2 linked regions of the Neodiprion lecontei genome follow. The protein of the gene in region 2 purifies or fractionates together with the protein of the main gene of each other region. This does not show direct contact. Links are inferred from orthologs where the notes say so. Each region holds a gene or a part of one and is shown on either strand. Other genes may lie near its edges.

Region 1 (9,834 bases), on a different chromosome or scaffold from region 2:
TATACATATACTTTATTAAAATAGCGGTATCGGACGAGCGACGTACACAAGGACAGACCGGAAATAACCAGGGAACCGGAACCGGGATCTTTCACAATGAATTCCCCCTCCTCCGCAACGACGTGCTTAACCCACGTACGTATCGTGCCGCAATGGAGATGCGTTATGCGTGTACGCGACGTATGGATGGACGTACGTAACTGCAACATGGTTAAAATTATAGACGCCGCCTTGTCTGCAAGTTCGTCTCGCCATTTTGCGTTGTACGCGATTATTGAAATACAGTCGAAGGCTTTTACGACTTTGTGCAAGTTGTTTTTGTTTTTTTTTCTTTTGAAGGATAAATTACGTCGCCATTATTATAACAGATGTGAAAAATCAGATTGCCATTATTTAGGTAGATATTTATATATATATATATATAAGCGCTTGGTCTTCGCTGCAAGGTCACTATTCGACTGACTCGAATTGTCAGGGTCTCTGATCTCTTCGAAAAAGAAGCCTGCATGTCGTATCATGGACGAAGGAAATCAGAACAAGGATCAACTTGGCTGGATGGTATAATTTATACACGTCTGTGTAACTGTGATCATGATTCACTATATAGTGATCAATAAGCCCAAACAGTTAACTCACACCGAACCCCGCAGAATTTTTCACCGTTTAATTTCGCGACGAAATTATACCTAGGTGATATATTCCGCAGACTCCTGACGTGTGTAAACAGTCTAAAAATTACCTGTACCCACGTGTTATTTACCTGGTAAAATATTTTTCTCGACATTTTAATCAAGAATAATAATATATGCAGTATTATGTTATTATACGATTGAAGCAACGGTTCGCAATGGAAAATTTTGACACGGTTTTCGTAAGTTGAATAAAAAATAGAGGTATTTTTATTACGATGTGAACAACTGACTGACGAATAGGTACAGTAATGTTCATTAATGCCTTGAGCTTAAGGCTAACTTGTTTGCGGTCCGAAACAAAATGCGAGTCTCGATTCTATACGAATTTTATGACAGTGACCGGCTGTGCAGTTGATATGAGAGATTGGGAGGCATTGTCACATAATTCGTATAGAATCGAAACTCGCATTTTGTTTCGGACCGCAAACAAGTTAGCCGTAATCTCAAGGCAATAATGAACATTACTGTACAACTATTTGGCTCATGAATTACATGAATTTTTTGCCAGTTTATTGCAAGAACTAAAAACATATGAAACCGCTGTCTGATCGTCTCGATGAAAGCTGATGGTATTTTTTTTGCGTTGGTAAAGCAATAAGGGGAGAATAATTTTTTTTTTAAATTTGGTATAAATTACCGTGCAGGCTTACAAATGCCTATTTATTCGTCTTTCCTACCGCTCGACAGTTGGATGTTACGTAGTTTAGAGGAATCGAAATAACCTCCGGATCATTCGAAGACGAAATGTGCGCGAGGGCGGGCGATAAGCTATCTTTACTATTGTGGGCATTCACGCCTATACACCGCACTTAATCGCTAGATGAAGTTTCGTAAACAGTTCTATCGCGTTGCTCAATTGGTAATAACCCGCTCACAATCATAGGAAGTTTACGATACTCTTGAACGGAAAGTATAGTCTTGTACACTATTTCGGAAATATTTACTTCAACTAATCACGAAGTCAGACATGCGTTTCGATTATTGTTTCAACATAACGGAACTGAAAGAATCAAAACCCTGTCCTCTGCTTAAACGAAATAAAAAATTAACGGAAGCCAATCAAAGAAATATTCGGTATTGTCATTTTAATTGGGAATTAAACTCGGAATGGCAAATCGTAAAGTTAAGCCGCTTTAACGATTCTTTCCAAACGGTTTTAATTAGCTGGGATGTTCCCGGAACATCTCTCTGCAGCACTATCTCTGTATTAAATTGTGTAATTTTAATGATAAACAGGAAAAAAATCTTCGCCACTGTGCGAACTGTGATATTTCAGTAACGAGTCGATTTAATGCAATAATATTATAAATCTGTGCTGAATCTGCGACGGCGACAATTTTGTAGGCCACAATCAACGCGGAATCTATAAAAATGAAAGAGAATCGTAACCTTAAAGATGGAACGGTTTTTATCGAATTTCAAAACACGCTAAAAGTTAATATATCGCGTTGATTACTGTACGCGTATTCGCTTACAACATATGTATAAGTCGGAGTTCGAAAGAGAAATGATATTTAGGTTTACGTAATTATTGTATGCCTATCTGTAAGTATGCATATATATATATATATATATATATATATATATATATATATTATATGTACAAGAAAGAGATACATCCGTATGTACACATTACACATATACATATGTATAATAACTGAATAAATTTTACAGACTGTTATAATGTCACACACGTGTGTGCTCGTCGTGCGGAGGAAGACGTGCCAATTTGTGTACGTATAATATATGTAAACACATTAATATGCGTATCCCTCTTGTTTTACTCCTCTCCTCATATTATATGCAGCCGTTTGCGTGGGAGGCCGTGGTCCAGTATAATAAAACAAGATGCAAACCTCTGACATAAGACTTTCACCCCTGAGGGCCCTTCGATTATCAGGCTTGTATTAGACCACGATCACGCGTTACGTTCGTAATTCTTCTAATCTATTATCCGATCCCTGTATAATTATGTAACGAAAATAAAAGACAAGGAAGTGGAAGCCGGTTGAACTTTGCGTTTGTGAAGCAGGCTATAAGGCTAAGAGCTGCGGTCTTAGTACTGTTAAAATAGACTCGTGGGAATGGACTTGCAGGCGTAGACGCACCTCGATCGTCGAAGGAAATGCAAACACTGCACTTCATTACACTTATAGATCCAATAAGAAAGAGGAAATCGTCATGGCGTGCGAGTGCGCCGATTCACACCGTACGTACGAAATTCGAAGTTAATAAATATTATACGCTTTGTGTGAACATCGCTCCGAAGTATAATATATACATATATATATATATATACATATACACAATGTGTATGAGGTATAATAAAACGAACCTGTTTCTGTAGGTTAGCTGCACTTTTTTTCCTTCGTTTGGCAAATTTTTTTTTAAGAAACATATATAACAGATATATTTATCCCTGAAGCTCTTTTCTTTTTTTCTTCACTCGACTAAAGTGTGTGCAATTTTTATACATTTATTATTATCACCGTACGAAAGTTCGATTTATAATTATTTATAAATTTTAACCAACATTGCAACAGTCGAACAGGAATGTCCAGTTTTTCATTCGACTTGTACTGCACGTAGTCATATTTAGGCAACAGATTATAGCTGATAATTTCACGATAGCATCATTTCTCCTTCTCAGTTTAACGGCACCACGTGACATCATGATGTGTAGAAAAAAAAAGGGAAAAAATAAACAACAACAGATACGAAACCTGCGAGCTCGCGATGCATCGAATACGGTGCGTGTGTAACGGATTGATCAACATTTAGTGCCGATTAAGAAAATTTATTTTTATTTCTACACGCGGTATCAATCTGTTCGTGTATCTAATTATATACATACATCTACTTTCTGTTTCTGTATCGAAAGAATTAAACATAAAGCAATAAATGCATCACGAAGTGTATTTCGTATTTCATTTCATTTCATTCAATTCAGTATTATCATTTTTTGTATTTTTATTAAATTGTCCAGTGTGGGCAGTTGATTGCTGCGTAATTAGCAATTAATGCCTGCGCAGGACAGGTGATTCACATGAAGTCACGCCTGCATACTGATATAAAAGAATAGCTGAATATAGGTACGCATGTATGTAACGCGATGTGCATACGTTGCAATACGCATAGGTGATTACGTATTAAACCTTCTGGATCTGCAATAGCGTTAAATAAATATACTCACCGCATATTTGTCCTTGTAGAAGAGCGAACTTGTAGACATGGTGTTAATTTTAATTAAACAAACAAGCACTGATCTGGGCTACCTCAAACAAACAGCAAGTCAATACTCAGATTTGATACGGTCGTCATGATTGCTTTATTTAACATACATGCAATACGATACTGACTACATAGTTTAACACACTGCAGTCCACTGGCCACTGACGGATTGTACACATTGAACCGAACCGAGTTTTATATTTATAAAGAAAAAGCAAAACGAAAAAGTACTTCGCTGATCGGAGATAATGATGAGCGCACAGTGTCTGTCCATGCCATGGATGTACGTATGTGGCAAGGCATCAAAGCAGACGCTCGCCGTGTCGCAACTATAATTATTTAACTAATTTATTATGTATCTCAAGTATATAGTAGTGGACACTCGGCGGTCTATTCGTCACCTGGATTCAACTCGAAGGAGAAAGAGACTGGAAAACCTACTGTGTATGTCCAGTTAGATCGTCGCTACCAGAAGGGTACAGCCCCTCCATATCCATTGCAAGTGACCTACAATCTAAGTGCTGTTCCTCCCTACCACCTTCTCATCTCTTACCGATCTTAAGGAAGATTGGAGAGTTTGGTCAATACGGATTCCTCGATACGAACGGGTGGATTCGGCTTCTACGATCGTTTCGACACAAAACGTTGATAAAAAACTATCATCCAAATGATAATTATCACTCAAACGGAAACGCTGTAAGAGGGATAGATTTTTCGAAATATATGCGTTTCGCGAATATTTATACTTATCGCGGAAGCGCAAATTTCAGAATTTCATATATTTGTGTCCTCGATTTTTGATATTAATTTATTTATGTTGCAGCTATACTCCACGCGCGTAAATCTTCTACTCACTACCTGTGCAATAGATCGAGAAAGTTGATCACTTTTTTTTTCTCTCTCTCTTTCTCCTTCTTTTCATTTTATTTTAGTCGTACGTTCAACTTTGCTGCTTAAAAATTGTTATTGTAAAAACTTTGACGGAAGAATAGAGCATGGCGTATGGCAAGCGTTACTAAAGAATCGGTAGATTAATTGTTTTTAGAATTGTTGGGATTGTGTGATATTACACTTTTGACTAAAAGTTAGTTGAAAAGATGCAAACATTATTGTGCTGTGAATTTGAAATTTTACCGCATCGATGCAAATATGTATGGCACGCAATTGCTTTCGTTTACTCTTAGGTAAACCGAGATCGCCGAGAGATCATACTCGTATATTGATGCAGGTAGTCATCTATTATTGAAACTGACAATATGTATCATTACAAACGCTGGGTAATTCGAAAATGATTCAGTTATATTATAATTGATGTCTTTCTGACTCAGTCACGATGAAACGATTCATCCGATTTTCTTTACATAACGATTCTGTGAGTATATGACGATGAGAACTATTTAGCATAATCTATTAAATAATATCCAATGTGGTAACCTGTGCTTACCTATAAACCGCAATAGCAGTCAACATCCATCTTTATCGAAATGCCGGTTTTCGCATCAAGATACTATTACGACCACGTTCAATATGCGTTGCATCATTTTTCCACTTTGAATTCCCCGGGCTGAGCGTATCCTTCGATTATCTCGAAATCGATTTCGATTCGGATGAAAATCGATCTTCTCTCGTATCGAGACATCGAACCACGAATACATTGATGATCGTACGGCGATAAAAATATATTTTTAACCTGTCCACTTTTTGCTCGCCGCTAACAATTGCGAAGCGAGGGATACTTTTAGAGTTATTCCATCAACGGGATTCTTTGTTCTGCGGTGTGACAGGCATTATTATACGTTTTAAGTTTCGAGATTTGCCCAATAATAATGGCCGACGCTCTATTGTCCTGTCGATATGAATACACCTCGAAGATTGAATATCGAAAACATTTCTCGAGTTAGTTGTGCGGCGCGGTACGTAAGTCTTGCACGTTTGTTTCTTTTCGCTGGAAAAAGCAGCTACAAAATGACTCAAGAGGGACAGTAAGTAGCTAATAATTGACTTAAGCCTAGTTCAAAATGTAGAGTTGGATTTTGTGTCGAAACCTGGCTCACCGTCCGGTACATTATTCGTGCTAAATTGATTGTAAAAATACGCCTGCCGCCCTGCAGGCTTTCGAAACGCCGCCATGTTGTGAAATGGTTTTATTGATTCTCGAAATTTCTAGAAAACTAGTTCTAACCGACAATATTTACCTCGGGAGGGCTCCCTTATTAAATTATCGAATAAACTATTATCTATTCCTGTAATCGACGTCATGCCAACCGAATAAAACACCCTCTCGACCTCTCGAGACGCTTCGAATTCCCAAGCGGCTTGATGCGGCTCATGCTCGTAATCGTGTAACACGAGAGTACGAAAATGTTTTCTCTACTGATAAATCTGGCTTCTTATCAGCAGCCCCTCGTTATTCGATTGCTCGCTCTCAGTGTCTACCCTGGATAATTTACGGCGCCATAAAAAAAAATACTGCCCTTTGTCGATACATCAATCGCCATTCGCACTTCCGGCGTATTATGACTTGCCATTATTTTCCTTCCCCATGACCACGTTTTGAATACCACGAGTTCAATAAACCAGTCACATTTTTTCGTAATTCGAATATCTAGCTCATTCATATCGCGGCTCGAAACGTCATGTTCATAACCAAGAATTTTTTTTTACGTTTTACTTGATATTTACGAATTCTTGCTGTCCTTGTTTATTCTCAGGGTGACACCTCCGCCGGTGATGTGGGCGCAAAGAAGTAACGTAGTGTACGTTACTATATGTCTGGAGGACTGTAAAGATCCCACAATCAAAGTTGAGCCCGATAAAATATATTTCTATGGTATTGGCGGCACTGAACGTAAGGCGCACGAGGTAACAATCAATTTGTACAAAGAAATCGACCCAGAAAAGACAATCCAAACTCCAAAGGGCAGGAATTTCGAATTGGTCCTTACAAAAAAGACTCTTGGACCATACTGGCCGCACCTGACGAAAGACAAACAAAAGTATCACTGGCTGAAAAGTGACTTCAACAAATGGCAAGATGAAGACGATAGCGAAGATGAAGCATCCTTCGGCGGTGGTGGTGGCGGAAACCGTGACTTGGAAGAGGTAACATTGATTGATCTGCTTAATTAATTCATTTTCATGAAAAGAGTCGTAATGTTTAGTCTTTTCACATGAAAATTGATAAACTGTACACGAGGGTGGTTTGTGGAAAACAATTGTGTATTTTTCCATCCTTCAAATATGTCGTTTCAACTGTATTTTAAAAATTTCACAACCCACTAGATTCCATAAATCTCTTTCTAAATTATCCCATGATACAACAAAATAAAATAGAATGTTTTTCAAATTTATAAGTGTGCATTAACTGAGCATAGAGTATAAGTTTGTCGATTCTCTTTGTGAATGATATTGATGGCGGAGTATAATCTTTGGCATTGTGATGACCAGTCAGGCGTCAAACAACAAATTTCATCCAAGAAAGCAGCTTTAAACTAAGATTCTCTCAGAAGTAAATAGTACTTTATGTGGCATGCCCGTAAAGTTGGTGTTTTTACGGCAAGGATAATGAACGAGTAAATTTCATTACAAGGTAAAAGCTAGCCAAAAGCGAGTAATGAAATCATTATACGAGCCAAAAGTACTTTACGGGTGCACCCCGCACAATGTTTTTTGCTGGCAAAACATGATAAGTCCCTTTGCCGTCTGTTGAAATCTACACCTCGGATCGTGCAACAGAAGTCGGAACTGCTGTATAAAGTCTATATGCCAGTTCTGAGATGCACACTTAGAACTGGGGATCGAAACTGCCGTATAAAGTCTTTGTATTCTATTCTGAGGTTAGCGGTACAAAGTGACACTTTACAGATCGAAAACAGGCGTCAAAAAGTGACTTTTTCATGCCTGTGTTAAAAAAACGAGTATATATGTGATATTCTTTATCTACAATTGTCGGTAGCTATTTAAATAGAAGAAACTTTGATTTATAGCTTCATATTCTTAAAATAATCGGTATCTCGTTTAAACAATTTAATTAAATGTATTTTGAGATTTCACGTGAACTTAACGCTATTGTATGTAACAAAGAAATGTTTCAAGCTTCAGGATTTTTAACTCAATAAGAGTTCAATATATCTTTTTTGTTTCATTTACATACGCTTAATGTTGAGCATACTGCATTGCCGAATGACAAAAAGCATAATATAATCCGTCGAACTTACCATAAAAAATAATGTAATAGTATATTGCGATACGAGTGCGTGAAGTTGGCGATACCTGACGAGCGTGAAGTTTGTTGCTCGAGCCGAAGGCGAGTGCAGCAATGAAACCCGTATTTATGACACATGATAATTTTTGCAACACCTGTAATGGGAAGTTCGACTTGAGACAATCGTAAACGTGGTCTAATGTTAATGTAGATGTGTTACTGCAACACAGCCGACGAAACTGTAGTCACGAGTCGATTGCGTCAAATGGCACTAGTTGTACTAGTTTAGCTCAGAAAACTGTTAGAAAAATACGAGTTCCTAACAGTTGTGTGATATTTCCCAACAGTTTCTGAACTGTGAGGAATGGGGTACTTCGCACATCCGCCACAGTGCACAAAGTCAAACTTCCCATGCAGGTGTTACAAAAACATCTTTTCATTCGCGTTTGGATACAGTTATAGTATTTCGTTATTAAATCTTATTGGCAAAGTACCCACTGTAAAGTTACACCTTAAAACTTATTTCATATTTTTTACCTTTAAAAGGCCTACCCGGCTCTTTTAGGAGTCAGCAGATAACTCGGAACCTCCACCTGATGTGTTGACTATTTATATACATAAATCATACCTCTAAATAATATTGAATTTCAAGGACAAAATGCCAGCCCTCTAAAAGTTAAAAATTATTTTTGCCAGAGTTGAAGTTTTGCAAAGTTTCTCATTGAGCGCTCTAATACAGAAAGTTCATATTTTTTTTTGCTTCTTCATTTTACAGATGATGCGCCAAATGGGAGGTTTGGGTGGTTCTGGAGACCGCAAGCCAAGTTTTGACGATTTAGATGACATGGGAGATGACGCCGATGGTCCAGACAGTGATGACGATGATATGCCAGATTTGGAATGAAATTGTTTGAAAAAAATCAACTTACCCTCTCGGAAAGAATTGTGAGCTAAAACAGGTGTTCTTTACAGGCGGAAACTTTCGCATGGCCGTCTTGTTTAGGAAAAAAAAAAAAATTCCATTGCGAATGCTTTTTGCAATTTTAGAATCAATGGCCAACAACGTAATACCTAACTTTTAGCTAAGCGCGGTGCGCGAAAGACCGAAAACTTGAAAAGAAGAAAAAATATATAATAACATCTTATAAAAAAAAAATAATGTTGCTGGTAAACGACGAGCAGCCGTACAGTTTTCGACCTCCCCCACCACTACCCATCCCTTAGTCTTTAGCTCGTAAACTAAGTTATAATGCAAAAGCTTTTTTTTTAACAATGAATGAATTAAATGTGTAAAATATTAAGAAGGATATAAAGAAAACCAATAAATGGAAAAAAAAACAGTCTGTTTATTTGATAAAAACTGTCGAGGCTAGATCTCCACATGTGTGAAATGCCTGCTCACACTACGTTAAGAAAAAGAAAACTGGTACATGAACGATTTATTTGATTATTCACATAAGTGAATAACAAGGAAGTTGTTTTCTTGTATATGTAAAAAATAGTTTACACCAAAGCAGGTTATGAAGTACTTACGTAACCATTTCATCGATATTAAAAACTTCCAACAACATTGCGTACAATAGAAGATAAATTGCTGTACCAACGACCACTGCCTAAAATTCAATGTATAAAATTTGTAACAAAATATTCAATATAGAACTGTAATAAATTCATTTACAGAGATGAGTTTCATGGCAGGTGTCATAA
Region 2 (8,396 bases):
TTATTTATTCCCGATCGTCGATGTACTTCCTCGCACTGTATAAGCGTGTGGCTGTTTCAAGTCGCGAAATGTTAATGGCGACCGTGCATGGCTTAAGTGGCGAGTCAGGTGCGCCGCTATCTACTGATAATAAAAATGAAAATACACGAATAATTTTAAAACAATTCTGTACACTCGGTTACGGGAGAAAATTTGTCGAATTTTTATGCAATGCAGACGGAGAGGAATCGGTGGAGAGAACCAGTTTACACGATATGATCGTCCAATTATCACGCTGAATAAAAGAGAAATGAAATAAATGGAATTTCCCTGATTTATATCATTTAGCAGCTAGACTATACTTATAGGTAGGTATATAGGTATATCACAATCGATCGGCAGACGTGTGTCACTGTCAAGTACGGAAAGGTGAATTATCGTCCACTTCAGTTCGCATAAACTTTCCTTATACACGACTTCGACCTGGTATAGTAAACGTACTTATATTATACGATATTGATGCGCAACCTCGTGATTATATGAGGGAAACATTTATATTTATGACTATGTAGAACGGCAGCTACCACGCTGCTCTCCAGTATGGGGAAAACATTTTGAAACTCGAACATTTGGCTGCTGATTGCCTGAAGCAAATACACCTAATTCGCAGTATTGAGGGTCACGATATACCAACAATTTTCAAGGAAGACCGAGTATAACACGTTACTACATAATCACAGAAGAGGGAAAACTGCCAGCTTCAACTTCTGTATATCTCCGTTTGTGTGATCTGTGTTAATGTAAGAGCAGCACATTCAGAGCCTGCTAATTATCTTGAATATGCATATCTCACTATATGTGACACGGTATGTTATACCTACGCATCTTGTATACCTGTAGGTCATGCTTGTAACAGCACGGATTGGTTCATAAAAAGATGGTCGCTAATAATACTCTGGGACATGAGATAAGCCTTAAGAAATGTCGATTACGTGATTTACTCCGAGTACATATTTACTTATAGTCTTTTAACTACGCTTCATAAATCCTAATTGCCGATATGGCATTGAAAATTGAATCCCTTCAGACACGAGAAATACCCATTTTATATTTCAGTACACAATATTTCGTAAGAAGTATGTACATCTTATAATTTCCTATCCTAACAAAATTTTCATACATCTTATATCTATTATTTAAGACTTATGATTATTATTTGACCTATATTCTTGTGTGTAAGAACTCATTTTTGTCTCCACAGAAAAATTTATCGTATGGAACATTATGCTCTTTGAAAAAAATACGCAAGCTTAAAGTAGTGAATATGGTAATCACTTTACTTCGTAATTAATTGTTTCAAAATTGGTAAGTAGAGTTTGTGAGAAAGAAAAAACTTTCAAGTTTGCGAAAATGACATTTGAACGGGTGTATCTTAACACTATTATGTAGGTATACTATAGGGTAGATTCCGATGTATTTCACACTTCCAAATGAAACCAATTTTTGCATAATATATTTACTGATTCCATCTAATTTTTACTCTCCGAGAAGACAGTTTATCGGCATTTCAAATGATCCGAAATTTTGCAAAAATTGCAGTTCTAATGCCACGTAATGTATTGTAGTGACAAGATTTGCGCACACCGCAAACTTTAATGAAACTCTTTTCCAAAATTCAAGTAGAACATGTTGCCCGGAATTAATTTAGGCACTTTGATATAGATATATTTCGTAACCTTGACAGAAAGAGTAGCCAAAGATCTTAACAGGATGTTTATTGGACTAAATGCCGAGAGTAAATAGGTGCTAAAGAGGGCAGAAAAATTAAATTGAGAAGATGAATCTCACGAAATACGATACAGCGTGAAAAAAAAAAATTCAAACACGATGCAAATTGTCAAACGACACGCACCGGTAAGCTTCTATACTAAAATATTCATACTCGTATTGTTCAGTTGCATGTCAAATCACAATGTAATAATAAGCGGTATTTTAATAGACCATTTTGTCATAGATATTACCGAGAACCGACAAAACAGTTTTACACTTCGACATTTTAAATTTCTGATGCACTTTGGCTGAGTACCGACAGAGTATGCCGACAGTCAATGAAAGACCGCTTTTATTACATTATATTGCAGCTACCACTGATCTCGCTACTACACTTTCCTACGCGTTCTGAATGAGTTACAAGAGTATGATAGCATTTAATTGGTGAATGTGTTATATAAGACCACTGAGCTCAGACACATGCTGAGAGAGATTGGCAACGGTTTTTTTTCCGTACAGTCCAATCCAAAAAGTTGACATGTTCTGTCAAAAGAATAATTCATACTTACAGGTTATACGTGACACCGCTATCTCGATGCCATATGTTAGTTATTGCATCCACGAATACAAAACGCATGCGCCATTGTTGATTTCTTAATGTTGTACCAATTACTTGTCTCTCACTGTCCTCTGGTGAATGCGACCGCGTTGACGAACAAACTTTTTGTTGGTATTATACCAAGTTACCCGCGCGCATGCGCAACGCAGTAAGACAGAGAAAAAGATACTATCAGCCACGGACTAAAAAGTATACAGAGAGGATACCCTTTACTCCCTCGGAGTAGATAAGACACCGATTTATACCGTTGACTTATCCTCAGTCAACGTATATACTAACATTAAATCAACAATATCGGTAGAAAGTGTTTGCGCGATTCACGCTATAACTATGTTCATACAGCTCGACTCATTTCGCGAAATGTAATTTTCACGTATTTCTGACTCTCGATGTGAATAACTGTCTATATAATATACTTTAAATTAAAAGTGATTTTCGAATTAAAAATTCTTCAATTTTCACTGATATAGTATTTGTATTAAGGATCGTGAACAAAATGCCGTATTATACAGCCACAGTTTACAGTTCATACTTTACTCACCCCAAATATGTATTTTATGTTAAGAAATAACCCAAGCATTACTTACAATAAATATATAGAAATTGCATAAATATTCCTATTTGATGCTGTACAAATTTCAAGTGTTTCTTGTATCTATTAATATAAAAATATGTTACTTATCTCAAATGCGTGAAGCAAACAATAAATCAAAATTAGATCAACTTAATTGCTATGCTTATGCCGTTGATGTAATTCTTATATGGTTTGTATGTGGCGCGCAAACACCTCCTACCAAGATGGCGGACATGGCTGATTCCAGGGTCTAATCTAGGGACTGAAATAGATATCTCGCTAGCACATTCGTGTCTAGCGTTACGATAATGCAGTGTGTACTGGTGTGTAGGACAGTTAGGCACACGGAACGCGAATCAGGCGTGAACCAATCATGAATTTCTGTATTTCAAACGATGACTTGTCCATGCGTTACGATGTTGACGATGATTGGTTTATTTTCTGGGTATTCATGAACACGGGAATGAACATTTTGCTGCAGATCCGCCTTTAGGTATCATACATGCATTTGTAAAAGAAAGCCAGCCCTTTCTTTTTAATGCCTTATTTATTACCTGTCTTCTAAGATAATTTAAGTATAGTTTCTCCATTATCTGTTCAATCGTATAAAAGTACATCATTACAAAATGAGTGAGAACGCTGAAATAACTGGAGCAATATCTTCTTCCGACGATATCAAGACAGCCGAAAAGTTCAAAGAAGAGGCAAACGAGTACTTCAAAAGTATGTTGCATTCACGATTTTCATATATTTACCAATGTATACTGATAAATATCGTTATCAATCGCTCCAGACCGATTCCGATGAAATTCGTTAAATCCTTACCAATTTTTCAAGATCGGTCACGTGCAATCAAACTAACCAAACTTAGTGTTTGCGATTCTAAAATTCGCATTTCATCGGTTCCCTATTCCTTTCAAATAATCCTACTAGTAATTTCTAACCTGTAATATTAGTTTTATAACTGCAACTAGGTTTAAGAATATTTAAGGTTTATGTCATCGATGTGGTTCCTCACTTGTCTTCCTTCATGACTTTTCAGATGCGACTGAATGACAAAAATCTCTTCCCTACTCTACATAAGAAAAATGAGCCCTGTATTCCATTAGTATATGTTCACCTTTCCCCAAATTCAGGATGAACGGTTCACGTTACCTTAATTATAATCTTATATCTCAATCATTGATTTCTTTGAACAATAAGTAATTTCACTTCTACGTCTATTGGTCCGAGAAATAACGATTCTCAATTGAATGACTTCCAAATTTCGAGGGTTAAAAATTCAACCCTTCCCATATGATTGCATGTAAAGAAAGTTTCACACAAATTAAATAACATGATAAAATTCACAAATTTAAATGTAAGAAGAATCGTTATGTTTTATCACAAAGGCTATGATATCAGTCAAACAACAATCTTAATGTGCAATAAAGCTACCTTTTATGATTGGGGTTGTGTATACTATGTGACAGAATCATATTTAAAAGAAATTTCACTGATTCTAGTGAAAGTGTGAAACAAAAAAACTTATACCAATAGTTAGAAAAATGTCATGACAGTTTGTGGAAACGTACATATCAAATATGTGACGAAACATTTGTTATACCTTCCGTTATATATTAGTTAATGTTAATAAGGTCGAGCCACAATAGTCTTAGTGTTCAAAATATTTTTCCTCTAAAAAACAAATGTGAAAAGTTGGTAGATAAACAAAATAAGCTTCCAAAATATTATACAACTATCCTTTTGGAATAAACCACAACATTCTTATAGTACCTTTACAGATAATTGAAACATGATTCTAACAAGACTTTTTTCTATCACATTCTTAAAAACCAATTTGAACTTCATTTCGATTCAACACCAGACTAATTAATTACTCGAGAAGTATTTCAGAAAATTAATATTTTACGGCTACTGATTGGCGATGTTTCAAATAATCAAAGTAACACGCGAAATTTTTTGTTAGTAAACAATTTTTTAAATTAATGCATCTATTTCTTTTACAGAACAAGATTATAATCGAGCTATAGAATTGTACACAAAAGCGATAGAAGTGGACCCCACTGTCGCTGTATATTATGGAAACAGAAGTTTTGCCTACCTGAAAACCGAATGTTTCGGATATGCCCTGACGGATGCCTCAAAGGCAATTGAATTAGACCGAAACTATGTAAAAGGCTATTACAGAAGAGCAGCAGCTTACATGTCGCTTGGTAAATTTAAGCTGGCTCTTAAGGACTATGAAACAGTGACAAAGGCCAGGCCCAATGACAAGGATGCTAAAACAAAATTCACTGAATGCAATAAAATGGTGAAAAAACTAGCTTTCGAAAAAGCCATCTCTGTTGAAGAGAATAAGAAGAATATAGCTGACACGATTAATCTTGATGACATGGGTAAGTCTAAAATATCACAAATACAAACACTGAATTTTACTAAAATGAATCAATTAGAGCTACGATTTTTTATTGGTCTAATTTTTATCTCAAGTATAAGCTGAAGGCTGTCAAATTCGGAACCTGTGTAAACCCAATTTTTTTTAAAATACTGATGGTGTTTTTCAAGTGTGCTGTTAGCTTCCAATTATCACCGAATTCATGTGAAAGTTCAAAAATGATTTCTAAACTGCCTGCGAATATTTTTCTAAAATCTCAAATTAGCTAATACAGTGTACAAAAATATACCAATCTAATAATTTCCAATTCCCAGTAAATGAGTATTACCAATCAAAAGACGGTCTCAGGTACGCACTATATACCCCAAAAATAAATATATACCTTATTCAAGGGTTGATAAACAGAATCCGCAAGTTAACTACAGATTTTCCAGAACAACAAGATCTTGTAAAAATATCGTTGAGAAACACACTGAGTCTTGTTTAAATTTTATTAACTTCAATATTGATGATCATTCTACTTAGCAATTGAAGACGAATACACCGGACCAAAACTAGAAAATGACAAAGTAACCTTGGAGTTTATGACGGATTTACTATCTTGGTATAAGAAGCAAAATAAACTTCATCGCAAGTATGCCTACAAGATACTTCTCGATATCAAAGCATGGTTTATGGCGCAGCCAAGCTTAGTAGATATTTCTATACCTGACAAGAGCAAGTTTACCATTTGCGGCGATATACATGGCCAGTATTATGATCTACTCAACGTATTCAAGCTGAATGGTCTACCCTCGGAAACCAATCCTTATGTATCCTTTTTGTTGATCAGATTAAACCACTGTGAACATAATATTAAGACATTCTCAATCGCTCAAAGTGCACTTCATCATCAAATAATGTCTACTTTCACAACTATGCGTTACAATGAGCAGTAATTTTCCTCAATATTGAATAGTTATTTAACGGAGACTTTGTGGACAGAGGATCCTTTTCTGTAGAGTGTATATTCACGTTGTTCGGCTTCAAGCTTCTATATCCCAATCACTTTTTCATGTCAAGGGGTGAGTTTTGGTTCATCATTATAAGTATTGTGAATTACCTAGTACTAGCAATGAGTCTATTTAAAATGAAGGATATTTTACTTACTATAAAAACAGTCATACTTTTACAATTGTAATTATAAAACTGATATTATTTCAAGTTATTTCATAGCAATTTTTCATTCATCTTTCTTCCATATGCTTATCGGTATTGCGGGAGAGAAATGATGAGATTTTCGGTTTAGAGTTTACATTCTTTGGATGACCGGTACATTTCTCATTGTCAATTTTGTGCAGAGCTACAGTAGAGTAAAAAAATAGTGTGCCAGTATTCTGTTGAAAAAAACCACAAGACACAGAATAGCTAGCTTGAAATGAGTATTTATAATAATTAGAGCGTCTATAGATAATATCTATCGTCGTTAGTCTCAATAGTAAAACAATGCGTAAACTGGTCTGGTCAATTATTGGTAAAAATTTGCAATATCTAATGATACAAAGCTGTCTTAAGTGTTTTGATCATATTTAGTGAGCTATCATTGAATGCACTTAATCACAAATGCTAATCCAATGCTGTGTTCTACGTTTTATTAATTATCGCATCAATTCGTTGGCCAGGAAACCATGAATCTGCAACTATGAATCAAATGTATGGCTTTGATGGCGAGGTCAAGGCAAAATACACAGCACAAATGGCGGAACTTTTCACAGAGGTTTATAATTGGCTGCCTCTTGCGCACTGCCTCAATAGTAAAGTGCTTGTAAGTATGTGCATGTGATATTTAAAATATGTACCAGTAATATTTACCAGTATAACCAATTTACCATAAGTACCAGTATAAGCATATTGCAATATCAATTTTGTTAAGTTAATAACTTCTACAATCAACATTTATCTGTGAACTTACCTCTTCAGAGATATGTGGTTATATCTAATTACTGCCTTACTCTTATTCTTTGCTCTGAATGCCTCTGTATCCGTAAATGTAAACGACTGTTTAATTTTTCCATTTTATTTATATTCTGGACATTCATTTTTAGCCCTAAGTGTTTGGGATTGTCCTTCATTTATGAATTGATTATACGTGTATTTCGACATTAAGTAACCCTAAACGATCAAATTTATGTGTAGAATATTATTGTGAATTTTATTCGTAGAATGAAGTTTCATAATAACATCATGACAGATAAATGTAAATAGTTTTCGGGTATAATTCCCATGATATCAAATTTTGTACAGAATTTTGATAAAATTAAATTATTTTCTGGCCAGGTGATGCATGGAGGACTATTTTCAAGGGACGATGTGACGTTGTCCGAAATTCGAGAAATAGATAGAAACCGGCAGCCACCGGAAGAAGGACTGATGTGTGAATTGTTATGGTCAGATCCACAGCCTCAGCCGGGCCGAGCCCCTAGTAAAAGAGGGGTTGGGGTTCAATTTGGACCCGACGTCACACACAATTTCCTCAGTCTGAACGGACTTGATTATATCGTTAGAAGTCATGAAGTGAAAAATGAGGGCTATGAAGTTGCACATGATGGCAAATGTATCACGGTTTTCTCAGCTCCCAATTACTGGTAAGTTTTATCTACACTCAAGGTTTTTGAGAGCTGTACCCTACAAAATTTCCATGCAAAGTATTCTATTTTCGAACAAGTTTCGAGTTGTCAAATATTTTCGCGTTGAAAACGAAAAATAATGTTTGATTGCTTATGACGCTATATCGCAGTTAAAAAACTTGTTGAGCTACCTGAAATTTCGTTCTTTCGGAGTAATAAATATATTTTACTTAAATTAGAACACTGGTATCATTTATAATTTATTTGTTTAGTGATACCATGGGTAACCGAGGTGCCTTTATCACGCTCAACGGTAAAGATATGGAACCCAATTTCACATCATACGAAGCAGTGGTGAGATGATTTACTCATTATGTAATATCGTGATTACTGAACGATAAAAATAGCGCACAGCAGTAAATATTTACTTGGATCATTTTTCAAATAATT

What was found.
Region 1: the proteins of serine/threonine-protein phosphatase 5 (region 2) and co-chaperone protein daf-41 purify together in Homo sapiens (affinity purification with mass spectrometry; 5 studies listed by BioGRID and IntAct, with this or other methods). This does not show direct contact. The link is inferred for Neodiprion lecontei from reciprocal best matches to the Homo sapiens genes PPP5C and PTGES3.

The regions. Positions count from the first base shown.
Region 1 is NC_060263.1:36,971,733-36,981,566, forward strand, and holds co-chaperone protein daf-41, read left to right. Parts: upstream 1-5,696; 5' UTR 5,697-5,777; coding exon 5,778-5,905; intron 5,906-6,634; coding exon 6,635-7,025; intron 7,026-8,902; coding exon 8,903-9,031; 3' UTR 9,032-9,245; downstream 9,246-9,834. UniProt on the Homo sapiens protein: Cytosolic prostaglandin synthase that catalyzes the oxidoreduction of prostaglandin endoperoxide H2 (PGH2) to prostaglandin E2 (PGE2).
Region 2 is NC_060264.1:9,722,220-9,730,615, reverse strand, and holds the start of serine/threonine-protein phosphatase 5, read left to right. Parts: upstream 1-3,423; 5' UTR 3,424-3,568; coding exon 3,569-3,665; intron 3,666-4,951; coding exon 4,952-5,341; intron 5,342-5,865; coding exon 5,866-6,152; intron 6,153-6,298; coding exon 6,299-6,404; intron 6,405-7,001; coding exon 7,002-7,144; intron 7,145-7,656; coding exon 7,657-7,964; intron 7,965-8,218; coding exon 8,219-8,300; intron 8,301-8,396. UniProt on the Homo sapiens protein: Serine/threonine-protein phosphatase that dephosphorylates a myriad of proteins involved in different signaling pathways including the kinases CSNK1E, ASK1/MAP3K5, PRKDC and RAF1, the nuclear receptors NR3C1, PPARG, ESR1 and ESR2, SMAD proteins and TAU/MAPT.